2 linked regions of the Neodiprion lecontei genome follow. The protein of the gene in region 2 interacts with the protein of the main gene of each other region in a pairwise test. Links are inferred from orthologs where the notes say so. Each region holds a gene or a part of one and is shown on either strand. Other genes may lie near its edges.

Evidence for each region. The genes of interacting proteins can lie anywhere in the genome.
Region 1: the proteins of E3 ubiquitin-protein ligase SIAH1 (region 2) and radial spoke head protein 3 homolog A interact in a two-hybrid assay, tested with the Drosophila melanogaster proteins (2 studies listed by BioGRID). The link is inferred for Neodiprion lecontei from reciprocal best matches to the Drosophila melanogaster genes sina and Rsph3.

Annotation. Positions count from the first base shown.
Region 1 is NC_060260.1:28,041,078-28,053,481, forward strand, and holds radial spoke head protein 3 homolog A, read right to left. Parts: upstream 8,820-12,404; 5' UTR 8,681-8,819; intron 7,573-8,680; exon of another isoform or gene 7,558-7,572; 5' UTR 7,552-7,557; coding exon 6,806-7,551; intron 6,723-6,805; coding exon 6,651-6,722; intron 6,303-6,650; coding exon 6,221-6,302; intron 6,159-6,220; coding exon 5,985-6,158; intron 5,833-5,984; coding exon 5,704-5,832; intron 5,506-5,703; coding exon 5,302-5,505; intron 5,093-5,301; coding exon 4,930-5,092; intron 4,866-4,929; coding exon 4,779-4,865; intron 4,686-4,778; coding exon 4,501-4,685; 3' UTR 4,469-4,500; intron 4,016-4,468; 3' UTR 3,807-4,015; downstream 1-3,806.
Region 2 is NC_060264.1:36,317,250-36,328,163, reverse strand, and holds E3 ubiquitin-protein ligase SIAH1, read right to left. Parts: upstream 5,958-10,914; 5' UTR 5,430-5,957; exon of another isoform or gene 4,689-5,429; 5' UTR 4,456-4,688; coding exon 4,227-4,455; intron 4,076-4,226; coding exon 3,836-4,075; intron 3,685-3,835; coding exon 3,492-3,684; intron 2,706-3,491; coding exon 2,528-2,705; 3' UTR 2,488-2,527; downstream 1-2,487. Other genes in the region: F-BAR domain only protein 2, read right to left, coding at 9,956-10,026, 10,110-10,458, 10,537-10,753, 10,827-10,914. UniProt on the Drosophila melanogaster protein: E3 ubiquitin-protein ligase that is required for specification of R7 photoreceptor cell fate in the eye by mediating the ubiquitination and subsequent proteasomal degradation of Tramtrack (ttk).

The DNA.
Region 1 (12,404 bases), on a different chromosome or scaffold from region 2:
ATACTATCGAAGACTACAGAACAGAGTTCACCGCACTATACGAATATAATCGTGATGAACATCTGTGTATGGTGAACATTATAACAAAAAATATAGTTAATTGCACGATTATTATAGTCCCTTTGACGTTCTTGGATCAACTTAGAAGTGTGTGGTAAAATTAACATTGTGCTTATAGTGCGCCAAACGATAATTTGAGTAAATTATACTATAAAAATTATCTTCCCGACTATAATATTTTAACTATACAGATTTTTAACTATATGCGCAAATTTTTCTCTCAGTGTGATAGGTATACACGCGATTCTTTATTGATAAAGATTAAGAGTTCAAATTCCTGAATTTTTTTAAATCTAGGTACTATTTTGAAAAATTTGATTTTGAAAATTTCGAGGGCCCAGGGCCTTTTTAGTCTTACGGTTAATTCGGACCTGACTACAACCAGGAAAATACCTCGTATACCTACCTGAAAACGGCTTGCGTAGATCAAAGGGACGCGATATCCACGGTGACCGGTGATGTCGCGACTCGTTACAAGCACTCCTCATAGACCCCTGTAAAGGTTTCCTAGACATAACTAATTTGACCGTCTAAGTCGATGGCCCGACTTCATATACATCCTAATACGTACTCGCCTACTTACTGCACCAGTACCTACTATGCATGGTAGGTTTTGCGTGATCGATCTCCGGCTAAATCCACGGCCTGACCTACCCAGAACTCGTGGAGTACATTTCGGAGATAAGGCACCAACAATGAATGCTGTACCGTTAATGATGCTCATATTAGCCCAATAGCGTTTGTATGTTGTCTGTAGTAACGGTATTTTATCACTTTCATTCATCTTGTTATTCATCCAATTAGTCCCGGAACCCTCGTCATTCATCGTGGTATGATGGAATAAAACGTAAGTGACAACTGTCATATGCGTAATTTGTTTATTCGTGATCTTTTTCCACATATATCGTTAGAGTTTTCTTAAAATTCAACGAAATATGTGAATTCTGTTGAAACTGGATAAACAAAACATTTTACTTCAGAGTTATACCGGTGGACTAATTTCTGTATTTTTTGAGAGACCAAAGTTTGTGTGATATAAAAAGTTGATTTCAGGATAAATCACTTGCGCGCATTGATGGAACTACTTTATCATATTTGTTTCAAAGTTCCTTCAAAATTTGCGAAGATTATACGACATTTTATCACTCGACAAAAGCAGAAAGTCCTCGCTCAAAATTACTACTGCGTACGTAAGGTTAAAGAAGTGTACGACGAAGGTTCTTGCTCGTTGATGCAGGTATACCAGCGAGTATCGAGCACTTGAGTAGGCGCAGGGCATTGGTGCGTGGCGTAATGACAAAAGTGTCCCTAGATCAAGCGATTATTATGGAGTACAAGCCAAAAGATTATCGTCGGAACAAGGGTGCGCGGTCACGCCTTATCTATGTTTATTAGTTCGCAAGATGTAGTTCCTATAACCAATTACTAAAATAACGAACTAAGCTTGCAGTATTTATTTTATGACTCATTAGCGCGTCATTAGGACCCATGGCATTTCAACCGTTCAGCTAGTTTAATTATTCGTTGAACTAAATACTCCTGTGACCAGTGCCAATTAAGGCACAGCACCCGCAGTCAATCGACGTTTTTTTAAAAATAAATACACCTGTTGAATAGAGTTGACTATATCCCTTCCTGTCATTAAGTTGCCCAGGATTTAAGGTTTGTACATTCATTTTACGCTCCGGATTCGATAATGCTGTCAAAGTCTTCACTTCCGTTATGACGTCGTTTCCGTCGCCATCGACGTGACCGCGTTTTTACCTGTTTGAATTTTCGCATTACTTTTGATGATGGGGATGGATAAGTTTTGCTGGATTCGTGATCGAACACGTGGTAAATTTTACCTTCGCCTGTACACTGTATGTATGTTATATTTATATGGATGATAAATTAATTTCCGGGTTTTACGTTTCCTGCTTTGCCGGTAACAGATTTGCTCGTTCAGCTGGCTACCGATTTGTCTCTGCGATTGGGGAAGTCCGGGTTTATACTTACCCGTGTTTGTCAGACATTGATCTGACCGTAGTCAGCCACCAATGTTCATCGCCAGTTTTTCATTTTAAGTTCTGGCCAGCCCCCTGACACATGCTGCTAAAAGTGGTTCGCTAAATGTCCCTCGATTCTGCCGCCAATTTCCACCACTAGTGGCGCTAGCAGTTACCTGACGAGCTTGCGCGCGGTCAGCGAGGGCAGCGAGCTTGTCAGAAGTCTACTAGCGCCACGTAGAGGAACTAAAAAACGGGGACAAGACGCGTACAATATTTTAGTATACGAGCAGTGGTGAGTGTCAGGGGGCTGGTTCTGGCTCAGCAAACTGGACGATTCCTGGCCTGACGTTTACTGATTAATTGCGTTGACCTGTACCAATATTGGTGGAAGTACCATGGCATTATTTTTCACATTAAGAACACCCCTGCGGCCTTGTCGACTTAGAAATCAACACCAGGCAGCCTCATTGTGTTTTTCACTTCACGCACTTGAAATTCTTAACGCAAATTAGCTCCAAACCTGTATAATTTTACGCGAACCTGCGTTCAAGCCTGGACTCGGAATTTTTGAACGACTAACAATAAGTATAGAATCGACAGCGTAAATACAGAAGTCGCAGTTGGTATGTAACCGTCAGTACTACAAGTTTTATAGGGATGGACGGGCAAAATGGACACCCTAAAATATTACATACAGTTTTCAAAATTGAAAAATGTTCCAAATTTATTTTTCTATCTTCTTTATAATACCTTGAAAATAAGATTAGCTATGTATAAGAGACTTGTAGAGAAAAAGCGGGTAAAATGGGCCGTTTAAAAATTATGCGTACTTTTCTAAATTTGCTTCAAAAGCGTTAAAAACTTGTTTATAAAAAGATATGAAAATTTTTCAGGGGTGCCCATTTTGCTCGCCGCTCCCCTAAAAGTTAAAAAAAATATAGTTTTTACAAGGATGCCTATGTAAGCAGTAATATAGTTGCCACAGTTGTCAGATGTTTCCTTACCTGACTAATTGTTATTATTACTACCATCATCGAAAGCTCGTTATTTAACAACAACGTCATATTGTTTGTTTGATTCAGATTTATTTCGTTCATGGATTGATATTTTACAGACATCACGAAATTAATTTCGAATTTACGGCAAAATGTTTTCCAATTAAACACAACTTTATCAAATGCGGAGGTTGGTGCAAAAAGGGTATAAGTAATAAATTTGACAAATCTGAGCCAGGCATGGTTTCGTATACTCAAAACTGCTCTTCTTTGGGGAAAGGATGGTTCACGACAATCAAAGTTCGACTGCGCCATCTATGTGCTCGTCATTTTAGCTAATTACTAACAAGTCCAAATCGCTTGGTGCAAAAACGGTACTAGTGCACTCGGAACGTATTTGTTTATGCCGGGCCGAACTTACAATTCTCGGTATTATCTTCGTAATGAGTTGTAACACTGCATTGATAAAGAATATTCGTGAAAAAGGGTATACCTGGTAAAATTTATATAAAATTCTAACTCAAGTTTGACCTGGTGAAATTCTATAAAATTATACGCATATAATTTAACATAATTCTGTATAGTTTTAAAAAGGCACAACCGCTAACGCGTTCTTTGCTCATAGTGTCCCCAAACGAGCGAAATAAGTCAGGGTTTTAAAGCTCACCGTTATTATAAAAGTATGAAAAATGATGAAATAATTGAAACACAGTTCAATTTCTAGGCACAAGAAGGGAAGTAGAATAACGAGTAGGTCGAATTGTATGAGCAATATTTATTCTCTTTTTTCGACATGCATCGATCGTATAGTGCTTAACTAAGAGTAAATAGCAAGTCATTTGCGGTTAAAATTTGAATACAGTTATTCATAATAACTAGGTATTACGTATTATCAGGCACTACGTATCGTGCGATCTTCAATCTCGCGATGTTACTTGATCCCATTTTTTCAGCGTTAGAAAGGGCCATCTGTACGAGAAATAGAAAGAAACACCTTTGAAAAATGGAACTTTAGTAAAAATCGGTATCTGTCGTCCGAATTCAAAAATCAATAATCACTATCTGATAGGTATTTCATTTGCGTGGACAAATACCAATATTTGACACCGGGGGGACTTGCCAGTTCCCCGCTCGTTGGTACATCGAACGCCCCCTGCGTAGGACCAGGGAGAAAACCTCGACTCGTGCAGCTGTGTACACCATCGTGCTCGGCTCGTATATGGCTAAGCTTATGGCTTACTCTGCATAGTGAGAGGGACTAGGCATGAGCCAGTCAAAGTGGTCGCGGCTGATCTTTGCTCGATTAATTACTGATTCTATTGAATATAGGCATCGACCTGGCGTCTCGGTCAGTGCACCGAATTGCTGGTCAGGTCCCGTTTTGCGCTCTGTGCCAGCTCGAAAGTGGGTGGCCAGACTTACTTGGACGAACATAGAACGTTGTAGCACGACTGCTAAGCTGGATTGACATCGTCCAGGGCTGGGGGCTCGTAATCGACGAAGTCCACGTCCCGAGTGTCGCCCTCGCCTTCACCCTCGTCCTGTTCCTCAAGGTCGAGCTGGTCTCTTGAGGCGTCGTAATCTTCGCCCAGGCGACGATACGTCTCAGCACGATTCTCCAGTATCTCTCTGATGATATCTGCGGTTCGTCGATGTTCGACAATTATCACACTTTCGTAAAACACCGCTCGTGATCGGGGGATCAATTAGATGTGAAAAAAATTGCTTTTACCCATCAGCAACTCTCGGCTCTCGATCATGTTGCCCATCTCTTTTTTCACCTCCTTCATCAGCCACGGCATGAAGCCCTCCTCGACGTCTGAAAAGGGTCAAACACGATAACGTTTATCGGCCTTGTTGTCGGTTCGTTGCTCCAGTTTTACCTGCTTTGATTTCATCCAGCAGGAACCCTGACATCTTTAATCCCTCCAGAACTGCCGGTAAAAGTTCTGCGATGTATCCGGTTAGAAGAACTGCCGCAGCTACCCGCTCTTCTGTCTCCAACTGGGTATTTACCGCTTCCTCGTGTTGCTTCAGACGTCGGCACTACATTTTTGGCAGAAGAATCGATCGGTGAAGTAAGCCATTACAAGAGAATTATACGTATACCTTGATACACGTGTACGTGTGTCGAGTTTCGGTCTCACCGTACACGGCAAGGTCAACAATGATGTGAATAGTTGATGTTAATGGGAAAAGTAAATCAGACTGATCTCAGGGCCGTTTCGATGATAAATTTCTTCAATCGCGCTTACTTTCTCTTCGCGTAATCGTCTCTCTTGTTCCTCGAGACGCTGTGCTTCTGCCTTTTCTGCCTCCCGCAACTCCAGGAATTTCCGTTGCTGCTCCCGCAAGGTCGCAACTTCTTCCTCTTCGAGAACCTCGATGAGCGATTGTTCGATGGTCTTCCCAACCAGTACCTCAATGATAGGCTGCACCTCGACATCGTAGTCGAATAACTGAAAAATTCGTATCATTTAATCGACTACTCTAACTGTGTCTTTACGAAAATGCTACAAGTTGACCATTCGACAAATGGTGAATTATTTTTCGCCTCTTTGACAATGTACGTCGGATTTTCAATTCGAACCCAGTATACGAAAGCCGGATGGAAGATGGATAGCTTCCGAATAAGCTTCTCATGTAGATGTACTCACGTCACCAGGGTATATCTGAGTACACTGATCCGTTCCAACTTTCGCCGGACAATAGAGAGGCGTTGGTGGCCGATCGAGGAAGTGATCGGTCTGCGTGCCGATGTCGAATTCGTCCGGTTTTTCAAATAGCTGAAATTAACCGGTGAAACATTTAGCTGCAGAATATCCTCGAATCACTGACTCGTTGATGTGTTATCGAACGAAGCAGAAGGTCAAGTTGAAATTCCAGGAGAAAGAATGGAAACTGACTTTATACTATAAACGAAACGAATGAGGCGAACCTCTTCGAGGTAGGTTTCCGTCTGCACCGGTTCGTGTTTCCTACCGGAAACCGGCGGTGGAGAACCGATCCGTAAGTGCAACGCTCGACTCGCCTGAGTCTGTGCCCGTCTTCTCGCGAGTTGTCGACGCCTGGCTTCCGCTTGAAGCGCGGCCTGCGATTGTTCACTGTCCACCTGAAATCATCCCGGAGTTGGGAAACATGGAACCGTTGGATTTCCCACACGTTGATACTTACAGGCATCGGAGTTGAGGCGAAAGTACTCCCGCGAACGACGCGACGATCGAACATAATGTTCCCGAAGGGAACCGGTTGATCACTGCAATTTGAAAATTAAGAAACAAAAGGAAAGGGATCGATTTTTGCACTGCCAATGACGCTGCGGATACGGTGTCTACAGTGCCGTTTCAACTCTATCCCATGTTCTATTTCACCTGGCAAAGCTCGCTTGCGTAGGTGCAGCGGAATGTATGCAGTATGTAAGCATGATAGTTGGAACAGGCACTTATGCGATACACATATAACTTGAACTCGTGATTGAAACCGTGAAATTATTCAGCCGCTTGGCCTAACTGCGATTCGGCGCAATCTGCAATCACTATGATCTAATCGTCACTCGGTTTAGCAAACTGAAAAGTATACTCGCTCCTGTGCAATGATCTATTACCGGTTCGGCAGAATGGTGCTCGGGATCGGTTCCAATTTTTTCGGTAACGCTCTAGGCATTGGTGCTTGTTCGCTAGAAAACAGGACACAAGCCCTCTCTTACCGAATCATCGAAATGCGAAGCAGTTTTTCAGATTTCTTTCCATCCTGACTTACGTTTGCGTCGGTGGCGCGCTCCTCTTCCACCTATTCGGCTCCGACGCCGGCGCTGCCGAGTTCACCAAAGCCATTGAGAAATCCGTGGTAGCCTTCAGGGCGGCTTGGCACCTCGAGTGATGACTTTGGTGTCTGATTTCCGGCTTTTTTGTCAGCAAGTTCAACGGCCGGAACTTTGACCTTGGACTTGGATCGTCCCCGCTGTTAGAGCTGCTGTTCACAGCTATGCCAAGGAGAGAAGCTACTTCCGGTGGCGGCATCAGGAATTCACCGGTTTTCACCGTTGTGATGAAAGGCTTTCTCGATACGAAATTATTGTTGTTACCGGTGTAAAGTTTTCTCGATTTACCGTGATCTTCTTCTTCTCGTACCTTTCGTAGCTTGGCGTTCAAGACTTCGGTGAAATCTTCGGTCGACAGAATCATTGGAGCTTTAACTTCCGGCTTATCTCTATTGAGATTCCCCTGGCTTTTACTGTGCTTGGCTTTCAGCGGATTTGATTGCTGGTTCTGGAGGCTCGCCAGTAGCAGGTGATCGTTCGATCTGCTAAACTGTTTCTGGTTGTACAAATTTTGAGAAATAATTTTATTCGACATTTCGAAATCCATGTCGTCTTCGGCGTGTAGCAAAGGTAGCGAAGAGTCGAGGCCATCCTTCTGGAGGATGGTAAACGCTGGTAGTTCTTTGTCGCCGAGGTTGAAGGTCTCCGGATTTGAGGGTGCCAACGCCGAAATGCCAGCTGGCATAGCGACCTTAAACAATTAATCCTACGCTATTCGCGTTGCATATTTTTCTCCGACGATTGAATACCGGCAGCGTGAAAAAATTCTCACGCTACCATTAAGGCGGTTTCTATATCTTGTTTGTTTTGTCTTTCAGTGAGTGAATCAAGATTCTTATTGTCGTTTCGCGGTGAGGTTATCCTGTTAACGTCGATTCGAAATTAATTCAAAATCAATAATGGAACTCTGTATTGCTGAACTTTCAGCGAAATTGCGAGTTCCTATTAGCATCATTTTTACCAATGTTTCTGTCTAGTATTCCGAAAGAGTTTTCCCATTTCTTTTACGTGTTATTTAAATGGAAAATGGAAAAAATAAAATAGGCACCTCTCAATATCAATATTAAGACCTCATATTCGGCTGAGATATTCTATTTGAGATACTCTGCCGAAATTTTGGTGCACGTTTGAAAAAAAATAATTTTTTTTGGCAGACACTGACGTACTTATGTCAAAGCGGAAAAAGTTACGATATAAAATTCTGTAACGGCGGTGTTAGGATTTTGTGAGTGAAATGGCGAAATTTTTTATTCGTGAACAAATTTTTTAAACGAAGGCCGCTTTCTATTTTCTCTGCGGGGAAAACACTGTTCTAATTCAAGCCCGATCGAACTCAGAGCTCCAATCAGATGATCGATTTTTTGCCTATCCCAAGTGTTAAACGGAATAGCTAGTGTTGCAAATTAGCCTACGTGACGCGTCGGCGTTAATATTTATGAGGCATGTCCGTCGGTGACCACGCAGGACGGCGAGGTTTGTTCAGAGAAAAATGAATCCAACTACGGCATATGCCCAATGACTGTTTTGTGAGTGCATCGTTGCGTATTATTATCAATTCGTTGGGACTTAGTCGTGCCGCGATTAACATTGAACGACGTGAAAAATATCTGACGTGTAATTGACAGAGATAAAAAACATGATGAGATGAAACGGGATGGATTTGTGTGAGATTGAAGCTGTTGGCTATGACGGAAAAGTCAATACAGACTCATACCGAAGAGATCCTAGTCACCCTGGCAGAATTTTGCTAGTTACGTTGCCAATTACTCGAGACAAAGAATATACGTCAGACTCTCCGTTAGACAGATACGTACTTTTTAGGAGATCGGTGGATCTAGTCGCGAAAAACTTCCTCGACGACTGCACCACCGCTGCAGGCCAAACACTCTCGGGGGTGAGTTCACACACTGGACATTGTACCCTTACCGTTTTCTACCGGCGTGTTACCGGCCGGCTAGCAACTCAATAGCGGTGACCATTGGCCAGTTGCGCATGTCTCTTCGCACACGTGTAAGGATCGTATACGGATATCGTCACGCAGAGGCGGTCAAGGGGGAAGTTAAAGAATAGGGGAGAAGAGTTCGATTTCGACCAAAGCGGTCAACGCGTCAAGGTGAAGTCAGATCGTCCGATTGCTGGCTTTAAATAGTATAGCCGAGGAGAAGATCCTTGCCCTCTCGATTTAACCCCTATTTTATATTCGAGGAATTCTTTAAACGCGAACGAAATCGCACGTATCGCCGTTAGCCAAACATTCGCAGAAGTTTCACTCGAGGTACACATTATGAACGTTTTACTTTCATTGTCAAAATGATTGTATGGTCTTATAACATTTTTGATTAATTGGCATTCCACAGGTATAACGCGTATAAAGGGTACAGATATTTTTATAATTATATTTGACCGATATGATATAATCGCCTAATCGACGAATGTGAAGTCTCATGGTAAGAAACACCATGATTATATTGGTCACGGTTTTCGACGGTTTACTGGCTTCTTTCCGTCGTAAAGTCGGTGATAATCATCTGCACGAGAGGTGTTTGAACTTGCCTAAAACGGAACGAATTCTGACGGTAATCGTAGGAGGAATTGTGAAAGTATACAACAGTCTGAACAACGCGTTGCCATGTCTGAACAGGGTTTTTAAACACTGCGTTAAATTTCTACTAGGCAGTTAACAAACCTCATTTCCTCAAATCTGTTCTCAATATGTTCGAAAATGTATTCATTTCGTTTTTGACACTACAAGCGTTCTCAAATATAAGCTTATACAACTTAGTCGTTATCAAAGAGATTCATGCACATTGGAAATAAATCTTTGTAATACCGTACGGCAATGGTTATACGTGGTCTTGGATTTTATCTCATTCAATTATACAACAGAGAGATGATCGAATGCTTTGGAGGTCTGCGTCACTAGCTTGCTGAATCGCAAACATCTTCCACAGTTTGAGCTTTACAAATTCGTAATACCAACAACACGGACCAGGTCCGGTCAGCGGGCATTAGGGGTCATTCGTGTCAGCCGCAGAAATGGAACGGTTAGTGGCGTACGTGTATAATATGGTTGCCTGGTGCTACCGGGCAAACTCATAGTATATGTACCACGCATTATCGATGCCAGTAATTTTCCAGCACCCGATGAAATTATGTTTTTGCAGGGTTGAATGTACTCTCTTAGTATCACGATGTCGAATGTTTTAATGTGTGATGAAAATGCCTGATATACGAAGGCAGGATTATGTTTGCGGCGACTTTGAATAATTCAGCACCACTCTGCGAATCCTCATTTGTAGACCGTCTGCCAATAATTTGTTAAACTATTAACAAGCAAACGGGCTGATCATAGCTAATATACTTTTCAGTTTTTCAAAGTAATTTGTAAGTACATGAAGCATTTCGTGAACTTGTAGCGCAAAGGGATCATTCCTAATGTTCATATTGATGAAATGTATCATCGAATTCAGTGCCGTGCCTAGGGCTGGGGCAAAGAAGCAGCCGCCAGAAGAGCCGTGCAGTGAATGCTTTTTTTTGTTGTTCAAAAAATCAAAAAACTTGGTATCTATAATAATCTTGAGAGCGGTTTTCCTTGCGTATTTGTCATGGTTACGATGTAACCGACATAGCAGAAAGTGGTATAGAAATGAAAATTTTAAATGTATGGCAACCAATATTAGCGCGTACACATATGCGCCACGTACAACTTGAGTATCTCATCCTGCACATTTGGCACGGAACGAAATAGAAAAAAAATCGAAGCACCGTAGGTCCGGTCTTGAAATATTTGGACTAGAAAATACAGTTTTTGGGAAATTAGAGTTGGGACAATGGCTGAAAAAATTTTGAACGAAATCAAAAATGTTGAGGGTCAGACGTTAATTGGATTCACATGGAATTTCCCATACATACGTATATTCGTATTGAAAAAAGCGGTTTCCCTCAGCCTACCCCAAGTACTCCAAGGGCTAGGCACGGCGCTGATCGGATTGATGGGTTGCGCCGTAGCCTGCGACGGCTGACGTATTACTGATACAATCATGAGGCCCTTAAATCGTAAATATGTAAACTCTACTGCACCGGCAGTAGTTTCGATAAAAATTTCAGTCGAGGAAAAGTGTGCTCAATTTCGAGGGCGTAAGGTTGGCGGTGACTTGGCTATGCATCTAGTCGGATCAATGGGAGCTGCGTGAGTCGGATATTCAAGAGTGCTGGGCATCAGATAAACTAACGACTGACGTACGTATTAATTATTATGGCGCACGACGAAAAACGGGAAATTGTTACAAGGAGGCACAACCGTTAGGTTCGTTCGTCTCGTCCTCGTCCTTGATCTCCAGCACTCTTCCTCTGACCTTTAGTCCACTCGTTGCAGGACACTCGGGCTCGGTTGTCCGTGCAAGCGAATAGATTCCAGAAGGAGACATTCTTACATTGGTGGATTGCGATACTTCTTCTGTATGTGCAAAATTGCCCGGGGACTTTTGACGAAGGAGTACGTCTCTTTCTTCCCCCGTGGTCCAGCCTCGGGGATGTTGTACGCCTTCATCCCCTTGTTGCACATTTCGCATTGGCTCACTTGACTCGTCCTTGTTGCCATTTTTAGATTTTTTTATTTTTTTTACTTCTTTTTTTCTTCCTTTATTTTACGTTTTCTTTAGAATTTAGAGTTTATCAAACGCACGGACACTCGTTCGTGTAAACTTGTCGAGACTTTTTGACAAGGGGAATAAAGATTTGGCACTTCACATCGCGTTTCGCGGCGAACACTGTTTGCGGTTGATTGTCCACCGATTACTTTGTGAGCTTTCTTTTTTGCTTCTTTCTTTCTTCTTTATCGCAGAATACCAAGTCAGGCGATGAGTTTAAGTAGAAAAAATAAAGCAATGTGCTGTATCCCCAGGTTGAGATAACCCAAGAAAATTCTCGCACTATTCCATAGGGCGGATTTTCTCCCATTTATCCGTGAATTTCGATGAGAGTTGCTATAGAAACAAAACAACTGAGTTTACCACCGGTGTGTCGATATTTTTACTACCTATACATTACTCGGTGATTTGTCGGAGCGAATATCGGCGTTTGCCTTGTCTAGCGTCCGATCAATTCTAGCGTTGCACGTTACAGAGGGTAGCAAAAATTTGTGAATAATAATTACTGTCGAATGACTTAGTTTGGCAAAGTTTTTATATTCGTGAAAGGAATAGACAGAGCTAAAGGAACATCTACTTTGGACCTGGTGAAGTGGAGTTTAATTAAGTTCCATTCAATTGGACGAAGTTCAAAGTTTCAATATTTTTCAAATCATACCTAATCAACCTTCCCTGGTCAAAGATTAAAACTGCGTACGCGTAAAAGAATGTTGGCTAGAAATATGACAGATTTGCATTTATGGGGTAGATAGCGTACCGCTACAGTGAGTAGTTGTACGCACCGTTGCATTGCTAGCAATGTTACCGGCGGAGTAACAGTACCGCGTTACGATCATCAAACAACTGTTGGTAGCGAGGCAAAGTTGGTTCCAATGTCGCTGGATGTGAC
Region 2 (10,914 bases):
ACATATGTCGTATACACGTAAGAACCGGCACTTACTTTTGCTCATTTTTCGGACCTGGATGCTGCAAAGTAGCTCCATTTAATGGACAGGTAGAAGCAGGTGGAGTTGCTATAGAAAAGATATATACTGAATTGGTGTGCTAATAGTGATAGTGGAGCTATCCCATAGTGGATAATGTAAGGGTATAGAGTAATCCTGAGTAACTCAAGTGACTGACTTCACCTCATGTTTTCTGTGTACAAATATACTGCCCACTGATAGATGTAGGCATACCCAATATTTCATAATTTGCGATCTTGATTTCTTTAGTGATCTCTGGGCCTCAAAAAAGAATCAGTTGCTGTTCGAGAAATGGGGTATTTGTTCTTTGGTCTGTAAAATTTCAATAAATTTATTTTGACAACATGATAACGAAGTTTTTCAGAGTTGCGTGGATCATCGAAAAATTCACCTCAGATATAACGTAAGGCTTGAATTGATTTCTCATGTATTTCAAATGAATGAGCTTGTGTTTTGCGCGAGCGCAGCCTGACTGGGAATTGACAACACCGAGCTTGCTCAATAGTAAGCGTGGGATTTGCACTTTCATGTGCATTGAAGGTACGCTGCTGGGTGTTGACCGAAGTCCATAAAGCCTTGAGTTCTATAATTGTATACTAATCTGTATGCGCTCATTTTATTAGATTTTATATGTATACATGTGATATTGCATGTAGGTATATGTAATAGGGTGGCCCTTAGAAGATGGGCTTCGCTGAATTTTAAGTGAACCATTGCCGAACAAAAATCGGTATTAATATGCAACTTCATATTTCAAATACAAATGATGTCTATAAGATCGTTTTGTTGTTCATTCGAATAACATCAATTTTCTGGGATTCACAAATTATGACTGTACACCATGTATAGTCAACATTTAAAAAATCCGAAATCCATATGAATTAAAGTTCATCAATCCTCGACGTGATATTTCATATAGCTACAAAACATTTAACTTGAAATATCGCATCAGAAGTACCTAAAATTTTCATGAACCTGTTCCGACAATGTACTTTAGAAGTGCATAAAAATCAATGGCATTTATCTGATAGGCACCATTTGCTATTGAGGTACAGAGCCCGGATTTTTATTTATTCATTTCGAGCCGTTTTTCGAAGGTTCGAAACCATTTTGAAAGGCCATCCTAACATGTATGCACGAGAACGAGAAAAAAAGTTATACATAATCATGTCACTCTTAGATTGTGTTGAACTTATCCTAGATCTTAATAAATATATGAATATGATGCATATGCGCAAAGTCTTGACGATTTCCATTTTTCTTAAAGCATTTCATTTAGTGTCTCCAATATCATTAAATTTAAAATATTAATGATTCTGAGAAGTCTAAAAATACTTTTTCCAACTTCCAACTGATGAGTTGAAGAGATTCACGTACAAATTTTTTAAATTATTCGCTGCAATCAGTGCTACTACAATAACTAAAATCGGCCAAAATAAAATACTGACCCTCAATAGCTGTTTATATAACTGAATACTTGGTCTGACGAAATAAAATAAAACTTCTGTGTGCAATAAAGACATTACTCTGGAATTGTCAATTTCGTCCCAATCCTACTGCCTGGTTTACATAGGTGGATTTAGTAGTAGAGTAAGAAGGTATAGTTTGTACTTTGTCATTACTGCATCTTGGGGTAGTGCAACTAGGGTACTGAACATAGCAGCGGGCAAAGTAGAGTGAATAGCACGTGTGAAGTAGTAGGTTATTGCGATAGTACAGAGTAGAGACCCTACAAAACAGAGTCAGGTCATTGCCTCCGCCTTGGCCGCCATTTTTTGATAAACCGAAATTGTGGGAAGATTTAAACACATAAGTAGGTAGAAACGTTGATTTTGTATAATAAACATATTGCAATATTAGCTTGTAATATGTTTGTTTATTAATATTAACGTTTCTACCTACTTATATGTGTTTAAAACTTCGCGCAATTTCGATTCATCAGAAAATGAGGACCAAGATAGAGAAGATTGGCCGGACTCTGTTTCGTAGGGACTCTGGCGCTCAGTAGCTGGGTCCGAAACATGCGAATCTACAGAATGTGTTATTATTTGGCAACTGTTGCGATTGTCAACTCTTCTCTACTGAATTACTGGCTCTGTGTGGACAGTAACTATACCTAAATTAGCAGAATTATTTATAGAAAAAGTATGTTTGTGTACTCACTATTAAATCTACTAATGTAAACCAGTTTTACCAGGTAATCGGCATTGTAACTACTAGCGAATAGTTAGAAATTAATTGCGAACCTAATGTTGGGCAAATTACATCTGCTATCTTGTATACAGTGATTGCGCTAACGATGGAAAAATGCTCTACCTTTGTTCCAAGTATATCAAGGCGGTAGGAACGGGAAGTCATGTAAGGTGACCTTATCGAATGTAGACATTTCCACTGTATATGTGATGCCATAAACGATTTTCACTGTCCAGCATTGTTCATTTGCTTGCTATCTGATCATTTGTTTATTTCAGGCCATAGAAATGGTCACGTTGATCCCAAGGTTTCCATTATCGGCAAATAATTGTGCCATCGACGTATCAAACACTAAGCAGTCGGAATTAAGAATAGCAGAAGATACACCTTCGTGGATAGATCTTGGCATAGCTTCCCACGTAAGCCGTCGTCTATGACCATTCAATTCCAATCTGAAATATCGAGAAAGAAAAAACCAGACTCAGATGCCATTATAACTTTCACAGCCAAACTTTAAACTCACAGGTCTTATCTTGTCTTCATTATTCTATACTGTGTATATAATCATATATTCATAAATATGCATGAAAATATAAACAGCGTTTAGTATAGATTGTATATGTATATTCAATCCATCTACGATGGAAGTCCGCGGACTTGATCCTGACTATAAAGCTGGTTATAAGTATATTATTTATAGAGAGCCATGTACTATAACTATAATGATGTAACATAATATTAACTCTATGATATCCCTGACATAAATTATAATAATGCAGGCTCTATCTGATATTTAGATTAATCTTTAAAAGTTAAGGAAAAATGGCTACGTCATGGAATAGGACTCCGTTGTGCTAAAATATTTCCCCATAAGCAATAAATAATCCAGACGATATTTTACGTATGGTAAATGACAAAAAGTGCAAAATAAATTCCAATTCACTCTTAGGAATATCGGAATAGGAATAAAATAATTAAATTAAAAAATTCAAATCAGACAAATCATTTTTCTTGAATATTTTTTCGAGTCCTCGATTTTTCCGACGAATATATCTCACGTCAATAAATCAATGATGAATATTTTGAAAAATTGATATGTTGAAATTAATTCATTCACGTATGTAATTGACAGTTCGATAAAAATCAAGTGCCTCCTACTTTTTATTCCAGTACCTGCCTGTTGTGACCTCAGTGGCAAATAATAAATAGTCACGAGATTATAAAAAAATAATATCTACCTGTACGCGAAGTTTTCAGCTTGTTTCCTTGAACCAATTAGTTGAACAATGGCAAAGAATTGCTGATGTCCATCATACTTTTCTTGTTTCTCCAAGACAAGCATAAAGTGATGACCAAAACATGACTGCATCATAACCCAATCTACTGCTCCAGAAAGATTGATATCCGTTGCTAAAAATACGATGTCTTCACCTAGAAGAGAATAGGATTGCTGCAGAATATGTTTCCAAATTACAGCACATCACCAATTACAGTAAGAAAAAATCCCTGTCTTTCCTAGTGATTAGTCTGTTGCATCGATTATTAGAAATAGTTGTAAGCTAGACTAATATTTGCAGATTACCTTGAAGGGTGGTAATACTCTTATGGCTCATAACAAGGTGAGGCATGACTTGTTCGAGAGATCCCTGCCACTTGCAAGAAGCACCGGGGCAAGGGCAACTGTAGGGTCGAAACTCACAAGCATCCTCATGATCAGCTTTCTCCGTGTGGACAAGAGATACAGTACAACCGCTTGTCGAATACTTGCAGGGGAACATTACATTGCTCGCTACTTTCTCCATTGCCAGGTTCCTGATGTTACCTGTTTGGTTGTTTGTTTTTTTTTTTTTTTAAATTCAAGGTAAACTGGACGAGAAGATAACATCATCGGTACCCATCACAGTCAAACATAGGTAGATACTATAAAAGTATAAGTAACTGGGACAAAGTTGGTGAATAATGTATGTACCAACCTAGGGGACCCCGACAAGTGGGACAACAGTTGAGCTTGGGGCGACAGTTGCTGCATACTAGATGACCGCTCTGGCATTGCAGTATAGGTGGCAAGACATAGTCAAAGCACACGGGGCATTCGAAGAGGCTGGCTAGATCCGCAGAACTGCTCAATGCAGAGGCTGCCGATGCTGAGGTGCCCGGTACTCCACGGCCTCGCTTTCCCGAACTTATATTCAATTGTGACATTATGTCGAGCGGATTGCAGACTGTAACGGGACGCTTCCTTCCTAGGTCACTGGTCTTATCTAAGTCTAATTTTTTGTGTGAAAGAACGTCCCCAGTTTCGTTTTATACCTGACCGGCTGTCCCCGATATCTGAGGTATACCTGGTGGGTTGGTTTATCTCGTTAACTCATTAACGATTTCATTACAAATTTTCCGCACCAGTGAGGTTCCACAAGAAAAGGATGCAAGGCGGCCTGTCACAACGTTCCGGTATTATTCATTGGATATTCTTATTTTGGTATTGGTTTTGGTATAGGTCTTGCTTACAGTAGTAATGATAAGATTAAAAAAAGGCACTTGAACGAATATTATCGTTGGACGCAAACAAGCCCGAGTCTTCCGACATGGAAACTAACCCCTTCTTTCTGTGGTACGGATAGTGTCAACGTTTACGGACACTCGATAATAAAAAAATAAACCGAATCGACGGGAAAGCTACATCGCGACGTAGCGAGATCGAGGCGCGTCGACGGTTTGCTCTGCGGTGGTGGTGCTGTGTACGGGCGGTGGCAACGGCAACGGAAGCTGCGAAGACAATGACAGCGACAACGGCGACGGCAACGACGACGGCGATGATGATGATGATACTGATGATGATGATGATGATGATGATGATGGTGATGATGATGAAGATGATGGCGATGGCGATGACGATGACGACGACGAGGATAACGAAACTGACAGTAATATTGACACTGACAAGGAGGGCAAAGACGTCGGGGGTGTCAACGGCATCGTGGCGTCGGACGATTGCCGGCGAGGGCGCGGACTTGGATCTACGGAGGACGTGATCAAACTCAGGCTCTGATCTAGTAGATAGACTGAAGACTGACGAGCGACGACAGGCGATAGGCAGTGGCGACTGGCGACGTTTACAAGGGGCCTCTACCTACTACATGCACGCCGTACGCGTACGGCGTGTTATCTAGTCTTACTTTGTCACTTCTCCACTTCAGCGCATGCCAGTACGTATGTATGTACGTACATGCATACACACCATGCGTACATTGTATAGTTAGTAGCCAGTACTTATATCTTCATTATGATTCACAACAGACGATGCGCGAACGTTATCCGTCGTATCTCTGGACACTTCATGCTGATAAAATGTCTATTGGCTGATTGTCTTTCTTTTTTTCAAGTACTGCAAAAATTACCACTGCACTAGCGACAACTTCTGCTTATACCTGCTTTCGATGCATGTACGCAGTCAAGCACGTATAGGCAAATACATGCACGCCTACACATTTACCAACGTTTGCAATACGTGCACTACACGACTTACATATTTCACCACACTAGACCAGAAAAAAAAATAGATATGTTAGGCCTCGTCCGATTATCACATCACATGGATTCTTTTTCTTCCTCTTCCAATCGGCTGTCTCCTTCCATCACACAATTCAATTACTGGCACAGCACCTTTCAATGCTGTCGGTAATCTTTTGCGTTTGCGCTAACGAATTAACGACTAGCCCTGCCTGTGTTCTAGGGAGTTTTTATGACTAGCAGTTTGGAGTGTATAGAAGGAGGGCACTCTCTAATGTATGGCGCGTCAGAATGTGGTCAAATTCTGTAGGCAAGTAAGGGAACATAGAATAACCGACGTGGCGCCGATTATTACAAAGTTGAATGTTGAAGTTAGTTACACTTAAACTTATGATATTTGAAACTAACTTCAGATGGTTCAGATCAGCAACTTACGTTTTCACAGCACCACTCTTATTTGTACCCATAATCAGCTCACTTTTTATAACCCTTAAGATATCCCCCCCTACTATACACTCCACAGCTAGCAGCCTGGCAGCTGATTTCAGGCGACAAACTTATTTCAGACTCATTTTTCAAGACGTTCAAGATTTCAGGGTCTGGGGATTTTTGAAACTGGACCCTAGATATCGCATGCGACATTTGGGGTCCTTGTTCAGAGAATCTAACTCGGAACCATGTTCAGAATGTTCAAACCACGTTCAGAAGGGACTGTTCACCGCACTCACAATGAGTTATCGGATTTTTCGAAGTGTCGTTTGATTTGTTCCACTGAGAATTTTTTTTTTCTACCCCCTCGGATGAGAGCATGGATATTTTAACAAGCCCTCCACCTGATAAGCCAAAGATTTTTGCACGATATTTGTTTCGGTTCCGATTATGCCACTTCATATGATTATTAATTTCATTATTTGTATAGTAATTTATTATGTGATTATTTTATCGAATTTACAAGATTAATCATGTAATGAATTAAATGCTGATTTTTTTCAAAACATTTTATAATTTGACGCGAAAGGCCTCTCAGTTCCGGTGTCTTCACGGTCTTGGAATATTCTTGAGGAATAGATTCTGATAAAAGCACAAAATCAATCAACATTGACGAAATTTTACATCGTGTGAATTGTGAAATATGCGTGCGTCACTAATGTCGATTAAAATCTGAGCCTAGACATCTTTTATCAAAAAAAAGTAGGAGTGCATTTCTCCATGCAATCCCAAACAAATAGACACCAAAACATCTGTGAAACGTCTGAAAACTCTGATTACCATGACTCCGAGCTGAATTCTCCAATCATGGAAAATCGTCGATTGTAACAATTTCGTAGTAACTCATTACCGCGTTCTCATGCCCTTTTTTTAAAATATAAGTTGCCTAGGCTTAGAATTTAATCGACCTAAGCGACGCACCAACATTTCACGATTCACACGCCATGAAATTTTGTCGATTTCGATTGATTTTATGAGATTCTATTCCTCACGGAACATCCAAGGCCGCAAAGGAAACGATTAGGATGCATAGTTTTCGTAATATTGGAAAAAAATTCTGGGGAACAGTAATTTTTTTGAAGCCTGGCGAACTTCGGTACAGGAGTCCCCTACCGCTACCGACTCAATTAACTTTGGCGTGGAGGTAAATGTAGGGCATGGCAGTTACCGCCGCCCAGTCGTGCTCCTTTCCATGCTTGAAAAGAATAATACCCATGGCTGGCTGCTTTGGCAATTTTCAGTCGACGCTGAACCACAAGAGCACCTAAAGAGGCATCACTGATACCTGACACCGATTATGATCTAAAAACTGCGTCGATAAGTTGAGGGCACTACACTTAACTTCGATTCTTCCGTGCTGTAAACGTAAAATTATTATTTCTCCTATCACGGATCCGCATTTATATCAGTAAAAAATATGTAATTCGATCGACTAACAGAAGATCGATCAAGAATTTCGCTTCACTAAAGTCCCACGTGGGTAAGAACTTTGGCAAGAATTAAGATAGTTGAATGTATGTACGCACGTACATACCTGAGAGCATTATATGCGGACAACTGTAAGCGGAGGTTTTATACATGTATATTTAACCGATTTTCAAAGAACTAATATAAATTTGAAATACGAAGCTTAACAGGTTGTCCAGCAACCGGGTAATTTAGGTTCAGGACCAATCCTCAATTTTTAAAAAGTCAAAAACCGTGCAGAACAAAGAGCCAACTAATTGTAAGTTTCTTTACAATGAACTTGACACATTTGAGTGTAAGAAATCTACATATCCTACTATTAATGCGGTAGATTCGTAATAGCAAATTCAATGTGTAAAAAATTAATCTTCAAATTCGACAAGTGTGCCGTGATGACATCTGCAAATATTCTTAAGGATGTGCCTTGGTCGTTTTCCACGTTGACGTATATATCTCGAAATAACGATATCTACGTATCTTGTAGGCGAAAAGGGCTTAACAGTTCCATTCTATACAAAATTCTGAATAAAAACACTGCAATGTATTTTCATTCGACGCAGAAATAAATAAATGTATACTGAAACGCATATTGTTTTATCCTTCATTACTTTTGGCGTGTATACCTTATTCGAAATCTTAATATGGATACTAAATTTTTTCGGCCAAACAAGTTTCTCTTTTTGCGTTCGTTAAATCAATTTACAAAAATTTAGGTCAATTAAAAATGGCGACATTTCGAGATTGTTGGGTTTGAGACGAAATGATTTATATTTTTCTTTTTCATTTTCTTAAAGATAATTCTATTACACTGGAGCTGTGTTTCAGGATAATTAATACGGTAACGAAAATTTTGCCGAAATAAATTTCTTCATTTTTCCTGCTGACAATTTCAGTATTTCCAGACAGTTTGCCACCATACTTACGTAATATTGGACCTTTTACGACCAACAACGTTAAAAAATTTTATGCGAAGGTGGGTGCGAGAAGACATGAAAATTAAATGATATTTCCAAAATCGAATTTGGCCGAATTTATTACGCACAGTTGGAATAATAAAAATTTTACGTTGAACCGTTTGATCGAGATCAGTACGCGTTCAATTCAGATTTCGTTTCAAAGTCGGAGGTTCTTCACTTTTACGAAATGTCTGAAGATTGCTTCGATTTTTCTCTGCGGAATATAAGTTCCTGAAATTTCCCAAAATTCTAAATTATTGGTGACCCTGCGAAATGAAACTACTAATTACAAGTTTTAATATTATTGAATTGATGTACATACATACGTATGTACGTATGTATAGCATATGTAAACACGTATTATACGTAGTCAATTATTTACAATATTGAAATCATGTAGTTGATATCGCAATTATTTCCAGATTACGTTAAATCAATACGCAACTATGCGAGGCACGAACTGATACTTGCTTTGAGTCTAACAAACTCGTGTATAAAGGGTATTATAGGGAGTCTACATAAATATTTGCTCGAGAAATGATTTACACGAACCCCGCATATCATCATTCTGGCTAAATTATTGCAGTATGATGATAATTCTAGAATCCTACCAATCCATACATAAAATTTCCATAAAGTGAGAATGATTAACTTGGAAGGATTGGTTACGAGTGATAGAGCGCAATGAATAAACAATGGCAAAGGTAGTCGAGATAATCGAATTATAACATTGTCCACGATGATGAAGATAATGATGATGATAATGACGACGACGATGATAATAACAACAACAAGAACAGTAATGATGTTAATAGTAATAATAACAATAATTAATAATATTAATGACAATTTAAAAAAATACCATAATAAACGTAGTGATGGATGATAAGGTGATCTACTTCGAGCGCGTGTGTGTTGTGTGTAGAGAGTAAAAAATATGTCAAGTCGATTCTATTCCGTTTGCAAATCATCCTAATTACAGTTTATAGACACGACTGAATTTAATGTACTTACTGGACACCAAAGAGAGTTCTACTGACAAAATATACTGGAACTGTAATATTTTAGCAGATAAACTTTTATGACAAATATAAGGTAAACTTGGATTGCAAGTGAAGCTGTATGCGCAAAACTCTTATATTTGTTTCTTTGGTATCCAGGATACATATTCAGGTTATAGCGGCCCAAGACAGTGAGGATGAGAAGGGGGCAGGCGGGGGGGTGGAAGAAGGAACTGATTCCTCTTCTCGATGATGCCGCATTTCTCGATGTACCAGGCATCAGTTTATTGTGGACGGCGGCGCCGCATAACGAGGTCTTAGATCCGAGTCACCATCGCACATATACCGCCCTGGAAATCGTTAGCCCATGTTATTTGCAAGTTTTTTTTCATCATTTTCTCTATCACTTGATAAAACATGTCAGGTGACTTACCGGAGACAAATCTCCGCTTCACTAAACTAAGCCTATACCCAACACCGACGAGTTCAAACTCAACCCCTGATAGGGTAGTGCCTTCACAATTGAATTGCGTGAATATTGTTCCCTGTGATCCTGGCCCTTGATCCAGCTCGATCCTTGCTTTAAGAGATCCGACACCACCACCTTCGCTATGCTGCGAGAGTTCGGTGAATTTCCACAATATTCGATTAGAATCAGGAAGCCACTGAGCGAGCGGCTTACTGTGCAGGCTCTTGAAACCTCCATCGATCAGTGAAGCAATGTGCACATTCAGAAGCGGGCTTGGTAATGCCATTGCACGACTGTTGTACTTGTAATCAATCTATGGATGAGATGAAGCTGATTATGAACAGATCACGGTCTCTAAAATCATCAGTAAACTGTATTCGTAGCTACATACTTTCAAATCAGTATGTGTTGTTTCGCATTTCCAATATGCAACGAGTTGAAAGGGGCACGATCCTGCACCATCCTTGTTCTTTATTTGATACTTGAGTATATCCACATTAAAATAGGAAGCTGAAGGATTTTGTTCGGCCTGCCGTCGGAGCAGGGTGGTTAAGGCACTCATATTGAAGTCGAATACCGTACTGTCAGCTGTTGCTTGCGTGGCATCCCTTTAACGAATATACAAATTGATGAGAAATATTGTTGTTCAATAAAGGATTCTTTTGTACTGTCAAGACTTACAAGCTGATCAGCTGATTGTTTGGCAGTAACCTTTCGAGTCTGTTGCTATTTTTAACACGAAAAATTAGCTTAGCAGGATTTGGATTAT